4 linked regions of the Drosophila melanogaster genome follow. The protein of the gene in region 3 binds, or shares a complex with, the protein of the main gene of each other region. Each region holds a gene or a part of one and is shown on either strand. Other genes may lie near its edges.

The links.
Region 1: Sec13 (region 3) and Wdr24 share a complex: the UniProt entries of both Drosophila melanogaster proteins name them as parts of the GATOR complex.
Region 2: Sec13 (region 3) and Nprl2 share a complex: the UniProt entries of both Drosophila melanogaster proteins name them as parts of the GATOR complex.
Region 4: Sec13 (region 3) and mio share a complex: the UniProt entries of both Drosophila melanogaster proteins name them as parts of the GATOR complex.

What each region holds. Positions count from the first base shown.
Region 1 is NT_033777.3:29,740,801-29,747,161, reverse strand, and holds Wdr24 (WD repeat domain 24), read left to right. Parts: upstream 1-2,069; 5' UTR 2,070-2,162; coding exon 2,163-2,280; intron 2,281-2,338; coding exon 2,339-2,978; intron 2,979-3,040; coding exon 3,041-3,373; intron 3,374-3,426; coding exon 3,427-3,511; intron 3,512-3,571; coding exon 3,572-3,727; intron 3,728-3,784; coding exon 3,785-4,243; intron 4,244-4,309; coding exon 4,310-4,495; intron 4,496-4,558; coding exon 4,559-4,915; 3' UTR 4,916-5,190; downstream 5,191-6,361. Other genes in the region: IntS11 (integrator 11), read right to left, coding at 1-369, 425-1,399, 1,479-1,692; Gnpnat (Glucosamine-phosphate N-acetyltransferase), read right to left, coding at 5,423-5,464, 5,793-6,012, 6,072-6,133, 6,195-6,322. UniProt on the Drosophila melanogaster protein: An essential component of the GATOR subcomplex GATOR2 which functions as an activator of the amino acid-sensing branch of the mTORC1 signaling pathway.
Region 2 is NC_004354.4:16,881,308-16,886,389, reverse strand, and holds Nprl2 (nitrogen permease regulator-like 2), read left to right. Parts: upstream 1-2,024; 5' UTR 2,025-2,149; coding exon 2,150-2,326; intron 2,327-2,388; coding exon 2,389-2,895; intron 2,896-2,983; coding exon 2,984-3,538; 3' UTR 3,539-3,706; coding exon of another isoform or gene 3,707-3,780; 3' UTR 3,781-3,871; downstream 3,872-5,082. Other genes in the region: DENR (density regulated protein), read left to right, coding at 1-72, 162-423, 589-776; Polr3I (RNA polymerase III subunit I), read right to left, coding at 874-1,314, 1,374-1,526, 1,590-1,704, 1,782-1,789; CG4872 (uncharacterized protein), read right to left, coding at 3,707-3,780, 3,872-4,069, 4,140-4,935. UniProt on the Drosophila melanogaster protein: An essential component of the GATOR subcomplex GATOR1 which functions as an inhibitor of the amino acid-sensing branch of the TORC1 signaling pathway.
Region 3 is NT_033777.3:23,354,432-23,359,639, forward strand, and holds Sec13 (secretory 13), read left to right. Parts: upstream 1-1,846; 5' UTR 1,847-2,234; coding exon 2,235-2,521; intron 2,522-2,966; coding exon 2,967-3,750; 3' UTR 3,751-4,100; downstream 4,101-5,208. Other genes in the region: PolE1 (DNA polymerase epsilon subunit 1), read left to right, coding at 1-289, 354-657; ATPsynCF6 (ATP synthase, coupling factor 6), read right to left, coding at 970-1,138, 1,203-1,354; RpS3 (ribosomal protein S3), read left to right, coding at 4,424-4,459, 4,723-5,208. UniProt on the Drosophila melanogaster protein: Functions as a component of the nuclear pore complex (NPC) and the COPII coat. At the endoplasmic reticulum, SEC13 is involved in the biogenesis of COPII-coated vesicles.
Region 4 is NT_033779.5:2,215,045-2,221,739, forward strand, and holds mio (missing oocyte), read left to right. Parts: upstream 1-2,245; 5' UTR 2,246-2,382; coding exon 2,383-2,500; intron 2,501-2,553; coding exon 2,554-2,727; intron 2,728-2,785; coding exon 2,786-3,037; intron 3,038-3,129; coding exon 3,130-4,060; intron 4,061-4,116; coding exon 4,117-4,672; intron 4,673-4,732; coding exon 4,733-5,214; intron 5,215-5,275; coding exon 5,276-5,366; 3' UTR 5,367-5,581; downstream 5,582-6,695. Other genes in the region: CG34174 (uncharacterized protein), read left to right, coding at 1-103; daed (daedalus), read right to left, coding at 287-415, 471-1,181; CG15386 (uncharacterized protein), read right to left, coding at 1,531-1,764; CG42371 (uncharacterized protein), read right to left, coding at 1,782-1,915, 1,969-2,098. UniProt on the Drosophila melanogaster protein: An essential component of the GATOR subcomplex GATOR2 which functions as an activator of the amino acid-sensing branch of the mTORC1 signaling pathway.

The sequences.
Region 1 (6,361 bases), 6.4 Mb from region 3:
CCATTTTGACCTTGGATGTAAATCGCATAACATGTCGATTAATTCCGATTTCCTTCAGGGCATCGGTTAGGTTTTGCAGCATTATTCGATTGTCCTTCATTACGAGGACGCCATGGATTAGTCGCCGCCTCTTGGGATCCGGTGGCTGGGCGTTGTAGGACCGGGCCTCTGCTTTAAGCAGGGAAACGGACGCATCTACTGGTATCTTCACAGGCGTAGAAATCACACAGGTTTCGCCGTTGGCCGGCATGTAGGTTTCCAGGTTGAATTCGTCTTTGATCTTCGAGCGCAGGAACTTCATCTTCCCTGCTTCACCATGGACGAGCATGACGTTCTTTGGCTCACAGTTCTGAATTAGCTGCATAATGCCTGCAATACAGAAAATTAATTAGTATCAGCATAAAAGTGCTAAGCTTGTAGCCACCTTTGGCATCTGCATGGGCCGAGAAGCTCATGTACTCCACGGCCATTTTGACCTCGACCACCTGGCGGTTCTCGAACTCCACCTTCTTGGCGCCACCGAGAATCTTGTTGCCCACGGTTCCCTGCACACAGTAGCCGGGCATAATCACCATGTTGTTCTCATTCGGCGCCCACTTCTTGAAGATCTGCAGGGAAAGACCTGCGTGCAGCATGCCTGGCGTGGCGAACACTACCATCGCGCCAGGATTGTCGATGTAGGCCTTGTCAAAGGGCTTGATGTGCTTGAAGTCGAACATGTTGCGGTGAACGAAGGTCTTGCGGATCTTCTGGTTCGTCCAGGTGATGAACATTTTGTAGTAGGTATTGGCCTTCTCGGTAAGACCCAGAGCAAAGTATATGGGGTACTTGAGGTTCATGCGCTCCCAGTACGTCTCCAGCAGGATGCACAGCTCCTGGGCGCGACCCAGGGCAAAAACAGGGATTAAAACCTTGCCGCCCTTAGCCACGCACTCGTGAACTTTCTTGAGGAAGTCCCTCTCGCGACACCGCTTCGAGTCCCTAATGGTAGTGGCGTAGGTGCTCTCGGAGATCAGCAAGTCCGGCCGGCACTTGTCTATCCAGGCGGCTCCCAGATGCCTGTCTGGAGTCATGTTGTAGTCCCCCGTGTAGACAACGCTCTGGGAGCCCACCTTGATCCAGAACATGGCGGCGCCCAGGACATGGCCTGCATAGTAGGCTTTGATCTCAAGGTCCGTGTCCACCATCATACTCTGGTGAAGTGTGACGGGAATCACCTTCTTCATGCAGTCCTTGATCATCTGGGTGGTAAAGAAGTTCGACTCGCCTTTCCGCTCTACGGCCACCTTCCGCATGTCCTCCAGGAGGATGGGTGCTATGGCCTTGGTCGGATGCGTCATGTAGATGGGCCCCGTGTAGCCCACAATCTCTGACATGTAGGGCAAGGCCCCGCAGTGATCTGGAATGCATGCAATCGATAAAGAAACGATTAGAGCCAGTTGACCAGATAAGAGCGCCTTTGGGAGGCCGAGACTCACCCAGGTGGAAGTGCGAGATGATCACACAGTCAATGTGGCTGGTGATCGGACCCTCCGGCACTATGTAGGAGAAGTCCGGGAAGCGGCGCTCGTCGTTGTAGCCCATATGCATCCCGCAGTCGAGCATTATGTTCTTCCCGCCCATCGAGAGCAGCAGACAGCTGCGGCCCACATCCTGGCCGGCGCCCAAGGGCGTTATCTTGATGTCCGGCATTTCTGGAAGGGATCAGGATCACCCGGCTCCACTCTCCTGCTTTCTTGCGGCCACTTGTTGCGCTGGTAAATGAAATTGTCGAAAAAGTCGACCGTGATTTTTGTAAACAGCAAGGCCGCACGAATGGCGTTGCCACTCCGTCGGTGTGGATGGTCCGGCAACGACGCGCTCCAACTGGCAGATCTTATTGGAGTGTTCCAAGAAGTTTCAAAGAATTTAATAGCTTAATTGAAATTAATGTTTCTGTCTGTATATGTATAGAATACATTAATTATATGTGAATAATACAACTTTAGTACAATAAGTCTTTTGTTCAAACAATATTCAACATCTGCATTTGGGAACACTCGCGCCAATGGTTTGCCGCTCGAGAAACGGTCATACTGAACCGAAAGGAAAATAAAAGATAGCGTCTTGTCTTATCAAATCACTGTTTTGCTTTCTGCGGGCGAACTTGCAACTGCTGCAGGATGCCCGATTCCGTGGAGGACACCTCCACAATCTCGCTGCGGATATGCCTGGAAGGACACGCGAACGCCCTGGCCCTGAATAAGGACAACAACCAGATTGCTTTGGCCGGAAGAAGCTGTAAGATTAGAATTGCCCAAGGTCTTTCTATAAATACACATAATTTGCTTCCGAACAGTGCTTAAGGTGTACTCCATAAACAGCAATGGCTTCACGGAATCGTGTAATATGCGCGGAAAGAACCAGAATCTTAGCTACTCCGCCAACGATGTGGCCTGGTCCACCTTGGATAGCAATCTTTTGGCTACGGCGGCCACGAACGGAGTGGTTTCCGTGTGGGATCTCTCCAAGTTCGGCAGGCAGAAGCAGCTGCTTGTCTACAACGAACATGAGCGCACCGCTCATACCGTGACCTTTCACAGCAGCGAGCCCAACATCCTGATCTCCGGTTCTCAGGATGGCACCATCAAGTGTTTCGACATCCGATCGGATAAGTCAATCAACACCTACTTCTGCAACTCGGAATCAGTGCGGGATGTCAAGTTCAGTCCACACACACAAAACATATTCTCCGCCGTCTCCGAGAATGGAACTGTCCAGTTGTGGGACATGCGGAAGTGGGACAAGTGCATGGTGCAGTTTACGGCGCACTACGGGCCAGTCTACACATGCGACTGGCATCCCACAAGGAATTGGCTGGCCACCGGAAGTCGGGACAAGCAGATCAAGGTGTGGAACATGGATGGCAGGCCGGGATTGGAGCACACCATTCACACAATCGCCGTAGTGGGACGGGTTAAGTGGCGACCAGAAAGAACGTAGGTTTTTCTAGCCAGGTTTAACAGTCTTATTTATATTAAATCTGTTTAATCCTTTCCAGTTATCACATCGCTAGTTGTGCCCTTGTGGTGGACTACAGCGTTCATGTGTGGGACATCCGCAGACCCTACATCCCCTTTGCCTCCTTCAACGAGCACACCAATGTGACTACTGGAATTGCGTGGCAGGGCAGCGACTCGCACTGTCTTCTGTCCATCAGCAAGGACTCCACCATTTACAAACATGCTTTTAAGGATGCCACGAGGCCAGCGCTGAAGGCAAATGCCCAGGGAGCTAGCCTGGGCAGATTTGGGGACATCTCCTTTGCCAACAAGATCAAGGAGTATGAACCCAAGACCAGCGGTGCATCCAATACCAAGTCTTCTAGCTTCATGTATGTCGTATTTGTTGTATCAACTTGTATGTTTATATGTATGTGTATTTTAGAAGTCGCCGTAAGACGAATGTGGCTGGCAGCATTCAGTTCCATTTGGACCATTCCAAAATGTACAAATTCATGGTAAACGACACGGTTAGTATGACACTATTAGGGATTTCTTTGCCAAATCTGATACTAATTGATATATTTCAGTTTTCCGGCTATCCCCTAAGCGAATCTGTTTCAAGACCCACCCAAGAACACGAAAGTTTTATTGGCTGTGCCAGGGAACTTGTTATCAGTGGGAAAAAACTATCGGAGTTATGCGAGCACAATGCAGAGGTTTCCAAGAAATACGGCAAACATAATGTAAGCGCTTGAGATTATTCCCAAAATTTGCCAAAACTTAGCATCTACATTTTTCAGGCCACCACATTGTGGAACTTTATCAAATTGTTCTACGGCAGCAATCACTTTGAGCCTCCCTTCGAGCACCGCTCCTCCTTCTCGAATCAAAAGAATCCAATGAACTCACGACGTGCCACGCAAGTAGCCAGCGATTGGCCACAGCAGCGAACTGAACTAGGCCAGGATCTCAATGGAAACACGCCGGAAACAGCCCACGAAATTGATGTGGCGAATGTGGACGATGATACGCTCGGCAGCAGTGGTGTGGAGCATCCGCCTACGAGCTCAGTGATTCTGTCCGAAACGCAAATCATCAGCGAGATTACCTTTGACAACTTTGAGCTCTTGCGCAATGGGTTTATCTACGTGGGTCCCACAGAATGCCCGAAAGCTTTGGCCTTCCCCGCCCTTCATCACGATGTGCAGGCTGCACGACCACAACTGGATCTCAAGGCGTCCGATCACGAAAAGTCACCTGTTAGTTGAGATTATTGAGAACTCGATGTATTTACAGCTTAACTAACTTATTCATCCTCTTTTTAGCCACCGCATGTTCCCACTGTCCTAAAAGTCAGCCATGTCCCGCCCATACCCATGTGGGAACCGCATAAGTTCGTCTCCGATGCCCTCATGCTAATGAACGATGTGGGCGATGTGCAAACAGCTCTGACAGTCCTTATAGCGCTGGGAGAAGCTCGGAAGCTCCTGCCCATTGACGATGCATTGGTGGTGAGTTCAAAGACAAAGTTGGGATCAGAACGGAGTTATTCATCCGGTTTTCTTCCTTTTCAGGAGCACTGGTTTTACACCTACGTGGACCAGCTGCATCGCTATGAGCTGTGGAACGAGGCCTGCGAGGTTATCAACCGCTCCTGGCTGAGATCGGTGCAGCAGCTCAACCAGCACTCGACCGCCATGCACACGAACTGTGGAGAGTGTGGACGTCCAATGGGCGGCAAGGTGGGATGGTACTGCGACAAGTGCAAGTCCATGCAGTCCGCCAAGTGCTGCGTCTGCGGTCTGATCGTCCGGGGAGTCTACGCCTGGTGCCAAGGATGCTCCCACGGCGGTCACATAGAGCACCTGCAGAAGTACTTTGCCAAACACTCCAAGTGCCCCAAGTGCGGACACCTTTGCGCGTACTCATGAGACGCGGAGGAGGCTGGGTTTGCCCAGCTTTTGCCCCCCATTTGAGAGCCTTGTAAATAGAGAAGACTTAAGCCCAATAAGTACCTTGCACTAGACACTAAACAGATTTTTATATAAATGTAGCTCGAAGATGTAAACTTGTAAAATAAGCTCAACGTTTGTGAAGTAAATTAACAGACAGGTTTAATCGATCTTCTGCAACTTTAAATAGCACAAATGTTTGTTACTTAACTTTTTTTGAAATATTGGAAAATAAAACTGTTGTCTGTTGATGCAAGTAAGTTTATAAACATTCTGGGCTTTTGAAAAAAGTGTCCACTTTATTGAATTTCTTCAATCATTAAAGGTTTTTGAAAGATTCGTATTGGGTTTTAATCGCTATTGTTGATTAGTGTTAATAACAGTTTAACAGTTATGCGAGTGTTTCAATCTTAGGGCTACTTGATGAAGGTGCTCTTAAAAGGTAATATTACAACCACCTTGGAGTTGAGAGGTCGAGCCGCACATTCAGTAGCAGAAAGGGGAGAAAAAATTATAAAATTGAGAGTTCTGTAGGGATTAAAAACAGAGAGCAACATATGTTGCGGTTGTCTTTAACTAAATATCTAATTGTATGTCCTCGCGGGTGGGTGGACAAGCACGTCCGTCCACAAGGACACCACCGCCAGCCAGCGCTGTCCAAAAATCCATCATGCCCTCAGCGCAATGGAATTTTGGCAATGCCTATATGCATTTAATGTTTTCTTAGAATCCAATTTTAGTTTTGTTGCATTGCGCTTCGCGCATTTGTAACTTTGAGATGGGGTGCTCCCACTCAAAGCTTGGACTTTGGAGCAGCGTTGGCGGCTAATTGTCAAGAGGCAAAATCGAGGCTCACAGTTTGGCAGGAGTCGCCCACTGTTCCACTGGAGCCGGCTGAGGTAGCATTCCGCTTGAGCGTTGGCCCCTCATCGTAGCGAATCGTCATGGAGTTGGAGTTTCCGGGAATGGCCACATAGCCCAGCGACTCATAGAACTTGATCAGCTTGTCCTTGCAGTCCAGCGACATTTTGTAGCAGCCCAGTTCCTCGGCCAGCAGCGATACGGTGACCACGATCCTGAATAGTAAGTCCGCGGATTAATGTTTCTTGTTGGGAAAATGATATACAACGCTTACAGTTTTCCCAGTTGCTTCCCGCGATACGTGTCATTGACCACCACATCCTCTAGACGGCCACGCTGAAGAATGAATCATAAGTTAAGCTAAATCATGGATCCTTTTCTCATCTTCTTCACTTACCACAGCACAGTTATGGATGAACTTGCGCTCGATCACCAAGGATGCAGCTCCAATAATCTCATTCTTGCGAGTGTCCTCAATGACGGTGACAAAGTAGTCCCCACTGGCTTTCATCTGCGAAAAGCGGGCTAGAAAAGATGGAGGTGGTCAGTACAAATACTACATTC
Region 2 (5,082 bases), on a different chromosome or scaffold from region 3:
TTGGGTCCGCGCGAAGGCGTCACCTATCCGATCCAGATGAAGTACTGTGGCCACTGCACGATGCCCATTGAGGTGAGTTCGTCTTCAAACCTGGGAAAAATCCATATTAGGGATCATATATGGCCCATATATTTACATATATATATATCCACTATACGCAGTACTGCGAGTACTATCCGGAGTACGAGAAGTGCAAGGAGTGGCTGGAGCTCCACATGCCCGATGACTTCGAGCGACTAAAGATTGAGGAGGAGGCTGCCGCCGCTGACGGGACGGATGACGACAAGAAGCGCCAGAAACGCGGTGGCAAGGGACTGTTGCGCGTCAAGAAGAAAGAGGACGTGCCCAAGCGTATCTGCGTCTCGCGGGCGGCACGTGGCAAAAAGAAGTCAGTGACCGTGGTCACAGGATTGAGCACTTTTGGTAGGTTCTGTTCGCACATTATGAGTATAGAGTAGGAAATGGAGGGGGATGCGGGCCCACTGGATGCTATGAGTAGCCATTACCATACCATGTAACTTAGATATATTAGATATACTTATGAGCTTTATTGTTAACTAAGCATAATACATTCCCTGTCTGTTCCAGATATTGATCTCAAGGTGGCCGCCAAGTTCTTTGGCACGAAATTTGCCTGCGGCTCCTCGGTTACCGGAGACGACGAGATCGTCATTCAGGGTGACGTCAAGGATGACTTGTTCGATGTCATACCCGAAAAATGGGCCGAGATCGATGAGGACGTCATCGAGGATTTGGGCGATCAGAAGCGAACATAAATAATTTACCTTTTTTTTTAGCTTATTTTATACGCTCCATCAACATAAATATATGAAACGTTAAACGTAATAAGCGGATGGGTTATTTTGGCGGCTGCTACCCGAGGTTTTCTCCATCTGGTGTCGGATTGGACTTGGTTTCCATTGAAGTGGGTGCATCCGTTGCAGGCGCTGTAGTGGCTTCATTTGCTGGAGTAGCATTATTTTCTGAAGACGATGTTTCCACTGGGCTTGCTTCTTCTGCTGGAGTAGTAGTAGTGGCTTCACTTGAAGGAGTAGCGACATTCGCAGGAGTAACTCCATCACCTGGCGTGGTTTTGTCCGCTGGAGCTATTTGTTCCGCTGGATTGGATTTTGCCTGGGCATTACGCTTTACGCCAGATTGCTTGCCGGCCTTCGCAGTGGACTCCGCAGGCTTTTCCGCCGGTGTTTCCTTAGCAGCGCCTTTGGTTTCTCCACCATGGAAGTGTTTGTAGCTCAGCTGAATGATTTTCTCGTTCTCCTCATCGGTTAGTGGAGCTTTATTGTCGTCGATGAGCTGGGGAGGTTATTATATACTTAATTAGCCTTTCTGGCATATGATAGACTAATCCTTACCAGTTGCGTGTGTAGTGCACTTGTAGGCGGATCGTTGATCATTTGCAGGATCTCTTGGGACTTTAGACGATAAGAAGACAGGTCTTTAACGTAATTCATAATGTTCTCACGAGTTTGTGTCTTGCAGGGCGACTCCTCCAGATACTGCAGTGCCTGTGGAACAAAGTGTTTGGTTAATTTATCATATATTAGTTAAATATTTAAAAAAATCGACACCTCATAGGTAACCGTGGCCAAGTTGCGCATGCCGAACTTCTTTTTGGTGCTTTTGATCTTCTGTAGAATCTGCATTACCTCCAGATTGGTGAGGTACGAGAACGTGGGATTGATCCTGAAATGGAAGCGTTATCATCTGCATATTATTCGCTGTTTAATGGAAAAACTAAATAAAAACAAAACAATCCTCACGTTTCCATTTCTGCAAATTTTAGTATGACCGCAGAGCGAGCGCTAAAATATACCCCACCTACGCATATTACAGTTGGCCTTTATATATTAACATAACAGATAATTTATACATGAATAAAACGATCTACTCAACAAATTAAATGGTGTTGAATTAATTTGTTGTTAAAATTTGTTATAATTGGTTTTTGCATTGGAGTATATTTGTTGCAGTAAGGCTATGGTCACACTAAAGCATCGCTTACCATAACATTACAGCGAATTCCGCCACTGTTATTGGATTGTGCCACCTGCTGTTAAAGCTTTGGAGTCCACTCCGCGGAAGGAAGCAGAGGATGTGGATGCGGTGATACTGGAATCTTTTGAACGGCATGCATTCCCATACGAATGAGACGGCTGCGACGTCGACAACGGCGGGCGCGGTCACGAATGGAGCAGGCGGATCAGGAGCTGGAGCAGCGGGTGCCCATGGCAGCACGGAGGGCAAGATCCGGTGCATCTTCCTCAGCGAGTTTCATGCGACGGCGGGCTGCAAGATAAGCTGCCAGGTGAGCTGGTTCCCAGGAGCGCTGATAACGCAGTATAGTTCGAACAAATCCACGTCCCTCAGGTTCCTGATAACTACATATCCAAGGATGTGTTCGATGCTATCAATGTTTACATCATACCCAAGCAGCATCTTCAACGCTGCATTCTCACCGTCAACGCAATGGATGTAAAGATAGTCGGCTATCCAGTGGGCATCCAGGATCAGCAGAAGTACGCACGGAATGCCTTCCTGTTTAACCTATGCTTTGTCTGCGACTCGCGGGCCAGGAGCGTCCAGTACGAGCCGGTCGTCAAGAAGCTGTCCGAGTACCTCATAATGATGGAGGAGGAGTCGTGCTTCCTGTCTCGCGAAGATGACAAGCGCCGCCTACAGAACATCTTTGAGACTGTACTACGCGACCTTAACGAGCGGAAGGTGGCCACCATTGTTGAGGGCGATAACACTATATACCTGAAGATCGTCATGCACAAGCCGGACCCGCCGCCGGTCAAGGATCACATGGTGCCCCTGCTGCTGGCGAACCTGCGCGATGCTCCGCTGGACAACTGGGACCTTACCACACAACAGGTGCGGACTATTCCTGATTCTATAGTTATACAATCTTCACGATGTAAATAATTTAGTAATCCCATTGGACTGTTATGGTTTCCTCTAGATCCTGCCTTATATAAATGGAATCAACCATGTTGCCCGCATTGCCGCCGAAGCGGACGTGGAAACGGACCTGGTCAAGTCGTGCATACAGAATCTGGTCTACTACGGGGTCGTTCAGCTGCTGCCAATCCTGAAGTACAGCAACGTGTACATGACGCAGAACCTAAAGCATCTCATCCAGAGCGCATCACTGAGCGGCGCATGCCGGAAATACGTGGCCTTGCGTCCGGACAAGACGCTGCCCAGTGTTCAGCGCATCTTTCAGTTCTACGCCTCGATGACTCACGGCGTTACTCTGCGAGCGATCTGCCAGAGATTGTGCCCCCAGCACCACAACATCGATGAGCGTCGCATGGTGATCTTCGGGCTGCAGCACCGATTCATTCGCTGCATCCACAAGTACCCGGTGTTTACGGGCTCAGTGCCTTCCGGGCGGCAGAAGATGTACACCGGGCTGATCAGCTTTGACGAGATCTGCTGCAAGACGGGCCTCTCGCCCTGCACCATCGAGCGGGATATCGAGAAGGACACGAATGTGACTGTGATCTGGAAGTGACGACCGGAAGGACTTCTCCGGCCAGTTGGGTTTGTTGTAGTTTGTAAGCGAACCGATTGTTATGTTTCCAAATGCTTTTTTATATACGCGCATATACACATTAAAGTTTAAGAATTCACTGGTTTGGCTTGGGCTGGTTCCGGAATCGCTTTGCCAGCTGGACAGCAATCAGGAATCCTTTGCGCTAGAGATAATGCAATCCTGAACCGCCTGGGCCACACAGGCGTCCTCCGAGGCCATGCCTTAAATAGGAAATGTATGAAATTTTTAATGATACAACTTTGAAACAGACAGAGATAGTCATATAGTTACACAAACTTAATAAAAACGCACCCATGGATTGAAAGATGCTGATTTCTAGCTCCTTGGGATAGTTTCCATCCAGAATGATCTGACCCACTTCAGCGGTGATCGGCGCAGGTAATCCCACCAATTCAGCCTCGGCATTGGCATAGCAATCCACGTAGACCTTGGCCTGCTGGTAAATCTTTGGAGCCACCTCCGAAAAGTGAACTTCGCCGGCTCCCACAGCTGAAATCGAAAGTTATAAAGGGTAGGTCATCATCATCCATCCAGCATTCCATTATAACAGCAGACCTACCGTTAATATGAACAGCCCGTTTGGATTTCAGATCTGCCAACTGGATAAGCGGCTCCTTGGAGTACGTGGCGATGCAGATGATATCGGCATCCTGGCAAGCTTCGTGAGGACTTGGACATACAGTAATCTGGGTTCCGCTCTCGGTGTTCAATTTCTGCCGCAGTTGGTCCGCTAAACCCAGTGCCTTTGCCTGCGTGCGATTGTAAAGATTAAGCTGCCTCACCCGGAAGTTCGCGCAGAAAGCGGCAGCATGGAGTTGTCCTTGAACTCCACAGCCCACGATGGCCACGTTGATATTCCTTTCCTGCTCCGCCTGCGCCCCAAAGCGCCTGAAGTACAGATACTTGGTGGCCACCAGTGAAGCGGATACAGTGCGCCAGGTGGTCAAGTCCGTGCCCTCCATTATGGCCGACAGTTGACCGGTTTGATTGTCGAACAGCAGCACATGGGCATGGATGCTGGGCAGCGGAGGATCCCGTCGGGGATTCCCACTGAACGAGGTCACCAACTTGCAGGCCAGTGTTGAGTGGGTGTGCTCCACTTCCCCAGGATCCCTTGACGATTCCAGCCTGTAGTTGCCCACATAGGCGGGCATGGTGAGCAGAACCTTGCCAGGTTCCTTGCCGCATGGAATAAAAGTCCTCTTCGGTTGAAAGGCAAAGGATGTGGAGGGCGTTTCCGGATTCTGCTTAACTATAGCTACAAGTGCAGATTCCACTGCCTTATTGACCAGCGGCCAGGTGAGAACCTGACGCACAGCATCCGCATTGTAGTAAGCTGGCGTAGAGCTGCTCATATTGGCAATGAAATGGTTTTAAAACAAAGTAATTCTTGCAAATTAAAATATTCTAATTATAATTGGAATGCAACTTAGTATCTTACTAACGATCAAAGAATGCACTGACCAGGGATGCCAGGTTTTAGGAATATTGTTGTGGAAATA
Region 3 (5,208 bases):
TTATCCTGAAGCTGCACAAGAACTACGGCAAGGGCAAGCCGAGCCCGGGCCTAGAACTTATCCGCACTCTGATCAAGGCGTTGAGTGTGGACAAAACGCTGGCGGAGCAGATCAACGAGTTGCGCCGAAATATGCTGCGTCTGGTGGGGATTGGTGAGTTCTCCGACTTGGCTGAGTGGGAGGATCCCTGCGACAGTCACATCATCAACGAGGTCATCTGCAAAGCGTGTAATCACTGCAGGGACCTGGATCTCTGCAAGGACAAGCATCGCGCCATGAAAGATGGAGTGTGAGTTACACAAACCAGTACACATAATTTACCACAAATAATTGATTAATGTTGGATTTTTCAGACCCGTTTGGCTGTGTGCCCAGTGCTATGTGGCCTATGATAACGAGGAGATCGAAATGAGAATGCTGGATGCACTGCAGCGCAAGATGATGTCCTATGTGCTGCAGGATCTGCGCTGTTCGCGCTGCAGCGAGATCAAGCGCGAGAATCTGGCAGAGTTCTGCACTTGCGCTGGCAACTTTGTGCCCCTCATCAGCGGGAAGGACATCCAGACACTGCTGGGCACATTCAACAAGGTGGCTGCCAACCACAAGATGCAGTTGCTCCAGCAGACTGTTCATCAGGCGCTGACCACGCCACGCTAGGACCTAGTTTGTTGTTGTTTTCTAGATCGTAGGGCTTAAATATATTGTATTTATAATGGAATTTAATTCGATTTTAATGAGTTTTGAGTTTATGATGTCGCACAAGACGAATGTCTGTGTTAAGGAATGGACGCGCTTTATAATTCAATGAGATTCACACACTTTTAGTGGCTTTCGCATACGAATCGCTTGTTGTTTTCCCGATTTTATTGGTTTTTTTTGTTGACTTGCCCGCGGTTTTTGGGGGCGCACAGGCGAAATCAGCAGCTGAACTTAAAGCAATTAGACTAACTCATTCGCGAAGAGCGATCTCTACTGTGGGGCCTGGGTGATGGGATCGACCTTAACATCGGGGAACTGGAATTCGGGGAACTTCAGCATGTCGGTCTTGCCATCGCTGCCAAACTGCTTGGCCACACGGTCCAGTTCGGTCTTCAGCTCCCGCTCAATATCGGGATTGGAGTCCACCAGCTTGCCACCGCTGCAGGTGAGCAAAACAAGGATTATGTCGAGGCACACCAACGGATGAAGGAGCCAGAACTTACGCGCTCTTCTGCTTGTACTCGCGCACTTTGTCCAGGAACAGCTGCTGGATGGGATCGGAGGCCTTGTTCAGGGCAGGGGCAACGATTCCGAAGTTACGACGGGCCTCTGTGCGCAGGACACGCATGCCACTCAGCAGGGATTGCGACAGCATCTGGAATTGATAGATCCTTGTTAGAATAGCAATAAACGGCCTTCTTCATATGTAACCTTAAAAAGGTTATGTAATACAATTGTTTGTTTCGACGTTTCCCAATCGGTTTTCAAGCCGACTTTGCTAGCAACTTTATCTTGTATTCAAATTGTATTCCCTCAATCAATTTTTATGTATTTTAAATCTTGTTTTCACCTTATTTTCCTTTGCAAATGCTAACTTTCGTGCGGAAAAGTTACAATTGTCAGTTCACAATGGCAGTTGGTGTTAGTGATGTGCGCGTGATGGGTGTATGCGATACTATTGGACGTAAGCTTTTTAAATAGTAAGGGTATTTCCTAAGCTGATTTTTTGCTTTATCCTGTATTTGTCAGCTGTATCATATAGATTATATTCGTTGCGAACAAGAATTTTAATCAACAATCCGTTTAAATTACTTGCCTCTATCGAAATACAGCCTATAATAAAAATATTACAAATTATGAAAAGCTAATTTATACACTGTGTCTGTTTATGTATCTTACTATACATGTCCAACTTAAATCAAAACTGCTCCATAAACGTTCATACCAAAACACCACCTAAACTGTATCTAAAATCCCACACAAGCCAAAACCCGATCTAAATTGAATATAATTAATAAATTCTTGTTTTACTATAATATGAATATGAATAATATGAATATGAACTAAAAACTTTGAAATTATTCTATCTCATCTATGGACTAGAGTGACCATGTGATCAATTGCAAGTGTAACCATCAGCCACTGCCGCGCTCAGGTCACACTGCTCAACCAGGTTCCACGTCAAGCGCCGGAAAAAAACACGACTTGCATTTAATCAATTTATCTGGCGACCGGACGAACGGATTTCGAGCAAGATGGTGAGCCTGCTGCAAGAGATCGACACCGAGCACGAGGACATGGTCCACCACGCAGCGCTGGACTTCTACGGCCTACTGTTGGCCACCTGCTCCTCGGACGGCAGCGTCCGCATCTTTCACTCGCGCAAAAACAATAAGGCGCTCGCCGAGCTCAAGGGACACCAGGGACCAGTGTGGCAGGTGGCCTGGGCACATCCCAAGTTTGGCAACATACTGGCATCGTGCTCCTACGACCGCAAGGTGATCGTCTGGAAGTCCACAACGCCCCGGGATTGGACTAAGCTGTAAGTAAACGGGCACACCCATACCAACAAAGTTATGTTTGTTTTAGGAATCGACCAGGGGATACCCATTGTTAGGACCTTGATTAATAATAATACTTTAATAGCTTGATCCTTGATTAATAATAATACTTTAATAGCTTTGGAAATCATTATTTTAATATTTATGCTTGGACGTCTTGTATCAAATGTAATTTATCATTTATAATTGTTTACATCATGGTATTGAAAATATTTAACAAGAAGAATCAGATCTTGTTATAATAAATATATATAAATATATATATATGTTGGTGTCCTTTAAATTGTTCCCTCTGTCATAACACAATAAAATACTCTCTTATTGACGAGATTACGAGGTAGCAATGCGCCATGTCATACTTATGTTTAGATTTCCGTTATCATTTAAAGAGTGCCACATCTAACCTCTGTGCTTGCCACATTTCAGCTACGAATACAGCAACCACGACTCCTCGGTAAACTCGGTGGACTTCGCGCCATCCGAGTACGGATTGGTGTTGGCCTGCGCCAGTTCGGATGGCTCGGTATCGGTGCTCACCTGCAACACGGAGTACGGTGTGTGGGATGCCAAGAAGATACCGAATGCGCACACGATCGGAGTGAATGCCATCTCGTGGTGCCCCGCCCAGGCACCAGATCCAGCATTTGACCAGCGCGTAACTTCGCGTTCGGCGGCCGTAAAGCGCCTAGTGAGCGGTGGTTGCGATAATTTAGTGAAGATTTGGCGGGAGGACAACGACCGCTGGGTGGAGGAGCACCGACTGGAGGCGCACTCGGATTGGGTGCGCGACGTGGCCTGGGCGCCGTCGATCGGATTGCCCCGCTCGCAGATTGCCACGGCTTCGCAGGATCGCCATGTGATTGTGTGGAGCAGCAACGCAGATCTATCCGAGTGGACCTCGACTGTGCTGCACACATTCGACGATGCCGTGTGGAGCATCTCGTGGTCAACCACCGGCAACATTCTTGCCGTCACCGGTGGGGACAACAATGTCACATTGTGGAAGGAGAACACGGAGGGCCAATGGATCCGCATCAACTACGAGTCGGGTACGGCCATCCAGTCGAAGCAGCCCTCGCACCTTCCGCATTCCCACTCCCAGCAGCAGCAGGCGCTACAACAGCACCAACAACAGGCGCCATCGCATCCAGGTCCTTCCTCCGATTCGGAGCATAGCTCGAACCTGTCCAACTCGCAGCTCTCCAACTGAGCCAGCCCCGAAATATTGTCGTGCTGAAGTCGTGGTTAAAAGTGTTACTTTACAAATATATATATACGAAATACTATTTAATGTGCCCCTTTAAACGCTGTTTAGTGTATGTTTATTTGGACTTCATATGGGATCCCTATTTGAATCTTCTGAAATTATAATGAATTCTAAAGACAAGTTTTTGTCGAAATGGTATCATTTTTTTTAAGTTTTATCAAATATATTTGCAAATTGTAAGTAGTATGTATTTAAAAATAATAGTATAATAAGATTTAAATAATTAACCAAATTTTATTCAAACTTATTATTTTTAACCATACAGATAAATTCCAAAACTAAAATTTTTACACAATTTTTGAATGTCACTTTAGGTTTGTGTACAAGCTTGTTGTAATCTAGTTTCCGAACCATGTCTGCCTAGTACTACTGTGAATCAATTTAAGTAAAAACGAGGCAGAAACAGCAAATAGCTAAAAAACATTTTAAATTAATGAATATTAAAAGTAATTAAAATAAATTGTTTAATTCAGTAGTGTATAACTGTAATTTTTGGAAACCAAATTGGTATATAGTGGTATTTATTTCCAGACCGGGTGGTATTTTTTAACGTGTCTCGCGCGGGCACACTGGCCTCTTTCTTTTCTGCGCACCACGTTTCCGATTCGACGTCAAAATGAATGCGAACCTTCCGATTTCCAAGAAACGCAAGGTAATTGGGGAAAAATGAGACAGGATTACCTCCGGCATGTAATGCAGTGTCCGTACGTTCGTTGTTTCATCGGAGTTGTGTGAAAAACCCGGCCGGAAAGCGCGAAAATCCATCGGCTTCGGAGTTAACCTCAAAGCAGATGGGCGTCCCAAAAACTTTGGAACTCAACAACGCGTGGTGAAACAACAACAACAAGAAGGAGGATTGCTAGGTGTGCAATAGATGTGGAATGCGGATTATAATGGTTTCTTTTTGCTCCCCAGTTCGTTTCCGATGGCATCTTCAAGGCTGAATTGAACGAGTTCCTGACTCGCGAACTCGCCGAGGATGGCTACTCCGGCGTGGAGGTCCGTGTGACCCCCTCTCGCACTGAGATCATCATCATGGCCACCAAGACCCAGCAGGTGCTGGGCGAGAAGGGCCGTCGCATTCGGGAGCTGACCGCCATGGTGCAGAAGCGTTTCAACTTCGAGACCGGACGCATTGAGTTGTACGCCGAGAAGGTGGCCGCTCGTGGCCTGTGCGCCATTGCCCAGGCTGAGTCGCTGAGGTACAAGCTCACCGGAGGACTGGCCGTCCGTCGTGCTTGCTATGGTGTGCTCCGCTACATCATGGAGTCGGGAGCCAAGGGCTGCGAGGTCGTCGTGTCCGGCAAACTGCGTGGTCAGCGTGCCAAGTCGATGAAATTCGTCGATGGCCTGATGATCCATTCGGGAGATCCGTGCAACGACTATGTCGAGACCGCCACC
Region 4 (6,695 bases), on a different chromosome or scaffold from region 3:
GCTCATTGCGCACACAACTTTATGGGAATTTCCCGAGCACGTGGACTCCTATGTCCATCTGGGGTTTCTTCTCCTTGCCGAAGAAGTCAGTTTAAGGCAATAAATTAAACAATTTTTCAACTTAATACAACATATGGTTTCTATCAAATGTTCATGTTGGGCAGTAAAACTTCATTACAGCTTTAGATTAAGCGAATGCTTAAAGAAGTAATAAGTAAATTCTATAAACTTAGGTCCTATGAGAAAATCGGAATGTAACTATTAAATGCATCGTTGTGCGTTTTTTTTAAGTCTGAACGGAGATCCGCTCCAGTCGGGGAGCGCTGCGGAACTTGGTCCACCACCAGAACCAGGCGCACGAAAATCCCACAGCCAAGGTGGTGTAATACAAAATAGTAGCCAGGCTCCACTTCTTCTGCAATGCAAATTTGTATAAAGGAAAATAATTTCTTATTGCTTGCTATATTCACCTTCTTGTGACTCTCGTTGCCCTGCACTTTCTTCTGGCTCCTTGCGTTCTGGGCATTAGCTTCGATTTTCGCGAGATCCTTGGCAATCTCTTCGGTGATCTGATTCACGCTTTTTAGAGTTTCCTGGGCAAAGCAGCTGGCATATCGTTTGTCGCCCACCACGACGTCCTCGGGAGTGGAGACCTGCAGCTTGTAGTTGGTGGCCGCTAAAGAAGCGCGCAGGGACATAAAGTGGTTGCCAGCATTGCCCAGAATCTGATTGTTGTAGTTTTCGGCTTCAGGATGGTTGCAAATGTATTCGTAACTGGGATTCTGGTTGGGAATCTTTTCGAACATCTCCAGGAGCTGTTGCCGTTGCTTTCGACACTTGAACCCGAAGAGTTCCAAATCTTCGTCGGTGAGAGAGGCCAAATCCAGATAGTTAATGTTCTCGGCAATAAGTTTGTCCACACAGGTGCTGGCGTAGTCCGTTTCCACGCTGGTAGAGCACAGTAGACCGTTGAGGATCTCCCTCTCCCGGCGTGTGTCCCTGTGAGCCTTTTGGCGAACCCAAGGACGTCGATTGTAGCCCAGGAAAGCACTGTCCAATTCCTTCTGCTCGGTGTGCGAGTGAAAGTTCTTTGTGGCCTCAAACTGAATGGTCGGCGGAACCTTGGCCATCGCCACCAAGGGGACATCCCCCGCGGACATTGTGTGCGTCTTCGTTGCCATAAACTCTGTCAATAATGGCAATTAAATTACCATTAAAATGCAATTGCGCTTAGATTAGATTCGCTGTTAAGAATCGGACGTTTACGAGCACTGCGAGTAGGGGTGGTCAAGATTCCTAACAGATTATGTTAAAAGTAACAGAAGTAGTAAGGGCTCTGTAAACATTTAAAACGTGAATATTAACAATTTAGTAATTTTATTTCCTTTTTCCTATTTCGCATTCTTGTACGAATCGAATTTTCTTCTAATGAATCACCCTACCCAACCAATTAAGATTAAATGCTTAACATTTGTATTTAAAAAGTATAACAAATTGATAAATTGATGACGATTAAGCTTCCTAACTATCCTATTTCTCGGACGATGACCTGTAGATTGGGGCACTGGTGGTGGACGCCTCCTGGAGCTTCTTCATAAACAGAGCCTTTCGCTGCTCATCCGCACTCAGTTTGGTACTTGAAACGGAGGCTTTGATGCGCTCTAACTTGTCGACGTTCGGCTCGGTTAACACCATTAGGCCGTACCCCATTCCTCCGAAGCCAATCAGCCACAAAACGGACTTAAAGTAGGGATTACTAAGCATTTTGGAAGCGGTCTCCTCTAGTCGCTTTTCTTCAAAGCACTCCAATAACTCGCATCCGCCTGTCGCACTGTGCTGTCTCCGACGATTTCACCAATTTTGTAGTAATAGTCCAAAACGAAGGGATAGTTCTCGTGAATATGCTGACGAAACTCTAGGAGCGGATTGTTATTAACGATCAAAATAATTATATAAATATCCTCCCACCTCGATTCGTGTTCATGCGATAATAAACGCCGTAGCTGGCTGCGAAGCAGACTGCCTCGAGGACAAACAGTGTTTTGGCACTTCCTTTGATGAATTTCCAAATTGCAGGTTTTGGTGTTTTGCGCAGCATTTTAAGTGGGAGTTGTAAATATTAAACACGTTTGCTTTCTTACAAAAAAAAAAGGAAAACAAAATCACCTACCAGCTTATCGATAAAACGAATTATCGAACTGGGCCAGTGCTGGCTAACATGCGGCCAACAGCTGGTCGACCGGCTAGTGTGTGTGCGCCTCTTCTTCTTGCCATGTAGTGCAGTGTTTATCTCACGTTTTTGTTTTTGCAAACTGATAACGCGACGCAATTTAGTCTGTAGTGAAAATTGTTTTTTTTTACATCGATGGAAAATCGGCCACGATGAGCGGCAATACACACGGACTCAGCTGGTTTCCACATTTTCCCGACAAATTCGTATCCTGGGGCCAGGAAATCCATTTATACGAAGTGCGCCGCAAAGATGATCACAGCCAAAAAAGTAGGGTTTTCCCCAAGGGATTATGCCACTTTACTTAACCGCCCCCCTTGCAGGTCGCCTGCCTTATATATCCGTGAACTACCTCGCCAACGAGTCGCGCTATCAATATGCCCGCTGCGTGGCCGCCTCCTACCACAGTGACCAGCCCATAATTGCAGTGGGTCTGGCGGATGGCAAAGTCGGGATTTGCAACTTCCGGGACACCTACGACAGCAGCTGGGAGTACAGTGGGTGGACGACAACGCCGATTCTTAGCTGCATCTAATAGTTCTTCATTTCTCGTAGCACCGCGTCAGCAGCGCATGTGCACCTGCCTCGCCTGGAACGAGCTGGATGCCAATATCCTGGCCATTGGACACGATCGCCATCGAAATGACACCTGCATCACCATCTGGGACATTGAGCGTGGAGTTCCCAAGGAGACGGCCAACTTCTTCGGCGTCGGCGAGTCGGCCAACTCCATTTGCTGGGATCGAAATCATCGCACGGTCATTGCGGGAATGAGCCAGAAGATGATAAAGCTGTTCGATCTGAGGCGTGAGTACACATAATGCGACTGGTTATATTTCAACTACGTAGTATTACTTTATTGCCCTTTCACTGATGAAATCTTTAAATCCCTTTCGCAGAGAGTAACGCCACCTGTCAAAGCATTCAAACAAAGACAGTGCAGGGACTTTCCGTATCCCCCAATGGCAACTATCTCTGCAGCTATGTGGACTCGGTGATCACTCTGTGGGATCCGCGAAATATCAAGAGTCCCCTCAGGCAGATTCAGTCCTCGAAAAACCATTTGCAGATCGCTTGGTGTCCGACCAGGACAAGCCTGCTTTCCTCGCTGCAACGCGATTCCTCCTACATCACTCTCTACGACATCCGGAGTGTGGACACGGACAATTCCGGAGAGATCTACCACGTAAAACGACAGATTAGCCCCTTTCCGGCTAGATACCAGCACAGTGGAAAGTTTTCGTTTGTTAATTGCCTGTCGTGGCATTCGAGGGATTTCGAGAGAGCTCTGCTTTTGGCAGATGCGCTGAACATCCTGGACTTTCGACTGCCAGCCACCTTGCACACGGCGCACAGCAATCGCCGGAAATTGCCACTTCTGATGCAGCGTCCGCTCTACACACCCGCCTCGCCGACTTCCACTGCGGCCACGCCCACTCAGCAGCAGCCCACGAGCAGCTGCAGCACGAATAGCGGGAGTTCCCTGGACTTTAGCACTCCTGGTGGTTCGCCCTTCAATGTGGACCTGCTGAAACCGGAACTCTTTGAGCTGGATCTGGTGGACGAGACGCGTCAGCGCGCTCTAGAGGATTACGGCATCAAACCCGATAACAAGCGATTCGGCGAACTCCACTTGACACCGTATCTGCGAAATGTGTGGTCCACTTTGAACAATGTCTACAGCGAGGATCGACTGACGGGCTTAAAGGCCACTTTGGGCATTAACTTGGGACACACCTCGGAGGCCTTGATGGCCAGCTCCCGCATTGAATCTCAGGTGCTCCAGTGGCCAGAGGGCATCAACAACTCCAACAAACTGATATGCTACAGGTAAGTTTATATGAATTTGTGGTTTGACGAGTGTGATAACCCCAATCTTTATGCAGGAGTGAGCAGCGCGACCTGGCCCTCCAACTTTGCGGTTGGGCCTTTGAGCAGGAGCTGGATCGCTTTATAGACCAGTTGTATGCAAACAAGGAGTACAGCCGGGCAGCCATGATCTGCGTGTTCCACTTGAAAATTTTCCATGCCTGCAACATCCTATCGTCGGCGGCGGACAACATGAGGGATCCCAGCATGTACAGGATCACCGTCATCGCCTTGTCCAGTTTCAATGCAGATCGCTGCAGTTCCACGTGGCGGAATCAGCGATCCAGCGCCAACATGCAGATACACGATCCACACTTAAGGGCTGTCTTCTCCTTTCTAACGATGGAGAAGGACAATTTTGATGCAGTGCTCAAAGAGGAAGGCGTTTCGTTATCAGACCGCATGGCCTTCGCCTGCAAATATCTATCGGAGACCAAGCTGGCTGACTATGTTGCGCAGCAAATCCAGGCGGCCATAGATGGTGGCGATCTAAATGGCTTGTTGCTCACTGGAGAGTCGCAGGACGGAATCGATATACTGCAGTCCTATATGGACACCAGCTTCGATGTGCAGGTGAGCGTGCGCTATAAAAACATATGTAGAAACTTTGATATACATTGAGCTGTTTCTTAGACGGTAGCCCTGGTGGCCATTAACTACTTCCGGCAAGAGCTTTTCGAGGACAAGCGCATCCAGTACTGGATCGCCAGCTACTTGGATCACCTCAATAGCTGGGGCTTGTGGGAGAAGCGGGCCGAGCTGGACATCAAGATCGAGAGCATCCGCCCATCCTCCCGCAGTTCCCGCACCGTATTTCTGTCGTGCAACTTTTGCGGCAAGTCTGTGTCCAACGCCTTGCTGGACGAGCCGCGTCCACGGAGCACCACCACCAGCACCAACAGGCTCTCCTCATGCCCCAGCTGCCGGAAACCCCTGCCCCGCTGCTCGCTCTGCCTAATGCACATGGGCACAATGGTGAACATGAGCAATGGGGAGACCCCGACCACCACGCCCGACGTGCCCGGCTGGCAGACCAAGCCCTTCTCAAAGTGGTTTTCCTGGTGTCAGACCTGTCGCCACGGCGGACACACCGAGCACATCATGCAGTGGTTCAAGTGAGTTCAAAGTTACCAATATTTAATTGAATTCTGACCAATGTACGCGTTTATTTGCCAGGCAAAATTCAGAGTGCCCCGTGTCGTCGTGCAACTGCCGCTGCTTCGACATGGACGGCACCAAGCCGAACACATTGAGAGACATTTCCTAGCTGTCCGGAGCACCCACCATACACAGCCCTTACTCGCCCAGGCCATATGCATATGCATTAAGTTGTTGATTTGTTCCAAACGCGTGCGCCTTAAACAAACTCAGAAGTGTTCATTGTACTTAGACAAGGGATGTGCCCGTAGCATTAGTGTTTATGACCTACCAGCTTTTAGCTGCTCAATTGCATTTTATACTTACATTCAAATAAAGGACTATGTGCGACAAATTACTATAGATATTTCTCAGCTTTTCTTTTGAAAGTTGAAACCGTTATAGTTTCGTGTTTTGCAACACTTTCAGGTAGTACTTATTAGCATTCTTGTTGGAACTGATAACGGTCACACCGCTTCGCACGTTTTTATGCGGCGTTATTATTTTTTGTTGCTTTCTGACGTAAATGTGCAGAAAAAGTGCTTCCACTCGTAGGGCTTAAGTGAATGGTTAATAACATTATGTGATAACGCCTGAACAAACAAATCAAGATATAGTGAATAGATTAAACCAAAAGACAGTGCCGATACACAAGATATAATATAAAGACGGTAAGTTGTGGGTGGGGGTACAAATTTCCATAAAGCATGTGAGTGCTACGGAATTTGAGCACAGCACTTTAACTGGCAGTTAAGATTAAATATTTGTACATGATAGCTTTGAAAATAGCGATATTTAGTTACTTGACCTTTTCAACTCATTCGTGTCTACACCTGAGGCTTTTGTCCAATCTGAGTGCCCGAAAACGGGTTTCCCATTAAGAACTCCCAAGTTTAAAACCTGCAGCGCATACAAATCCAAAATGCAAATACATACATACAAGCCGCATTTATTTATATTTTGATGCGAAGATCAAAGAAGGTCTCTCCAAATAGCTTTTGGCGGATTATTAAATACCTTTGGTGACGTCGTGTTTTCTTGTTGAACTAGCTGTATTTAGAAATCGAGACAATAAATTCGTGTGCGAAAAAGTTTTGAAACTTTGCCAACAAAATTCGACGCATCTCAGGCATTTTCACCGCGTGACCCCTTTGAAAATCGAAAACGCAGCGTTTTTTGTATGGTTCTCGCCGGGGAAATAGAGCGTCCGAAAAACCATTAAAAATTAGGGTAAACATTTCAGAAGATCCAGACTTGAAGCTATCTTTAATGTCTTACGCTTCAGCTTCTGGTTTCCATTCAGAAATCGGTTATAAATCAAGAAGTGGGAACTCAAACACAACTTAAACGAAACGAACGGTTCATTATGTCACTCCACTAAATTTAGCACTACGCTCTTCTACGCTCACCGCGCTCTTTTACACTGAGAACAATATAACTGTATATGCTTTAAATGGAT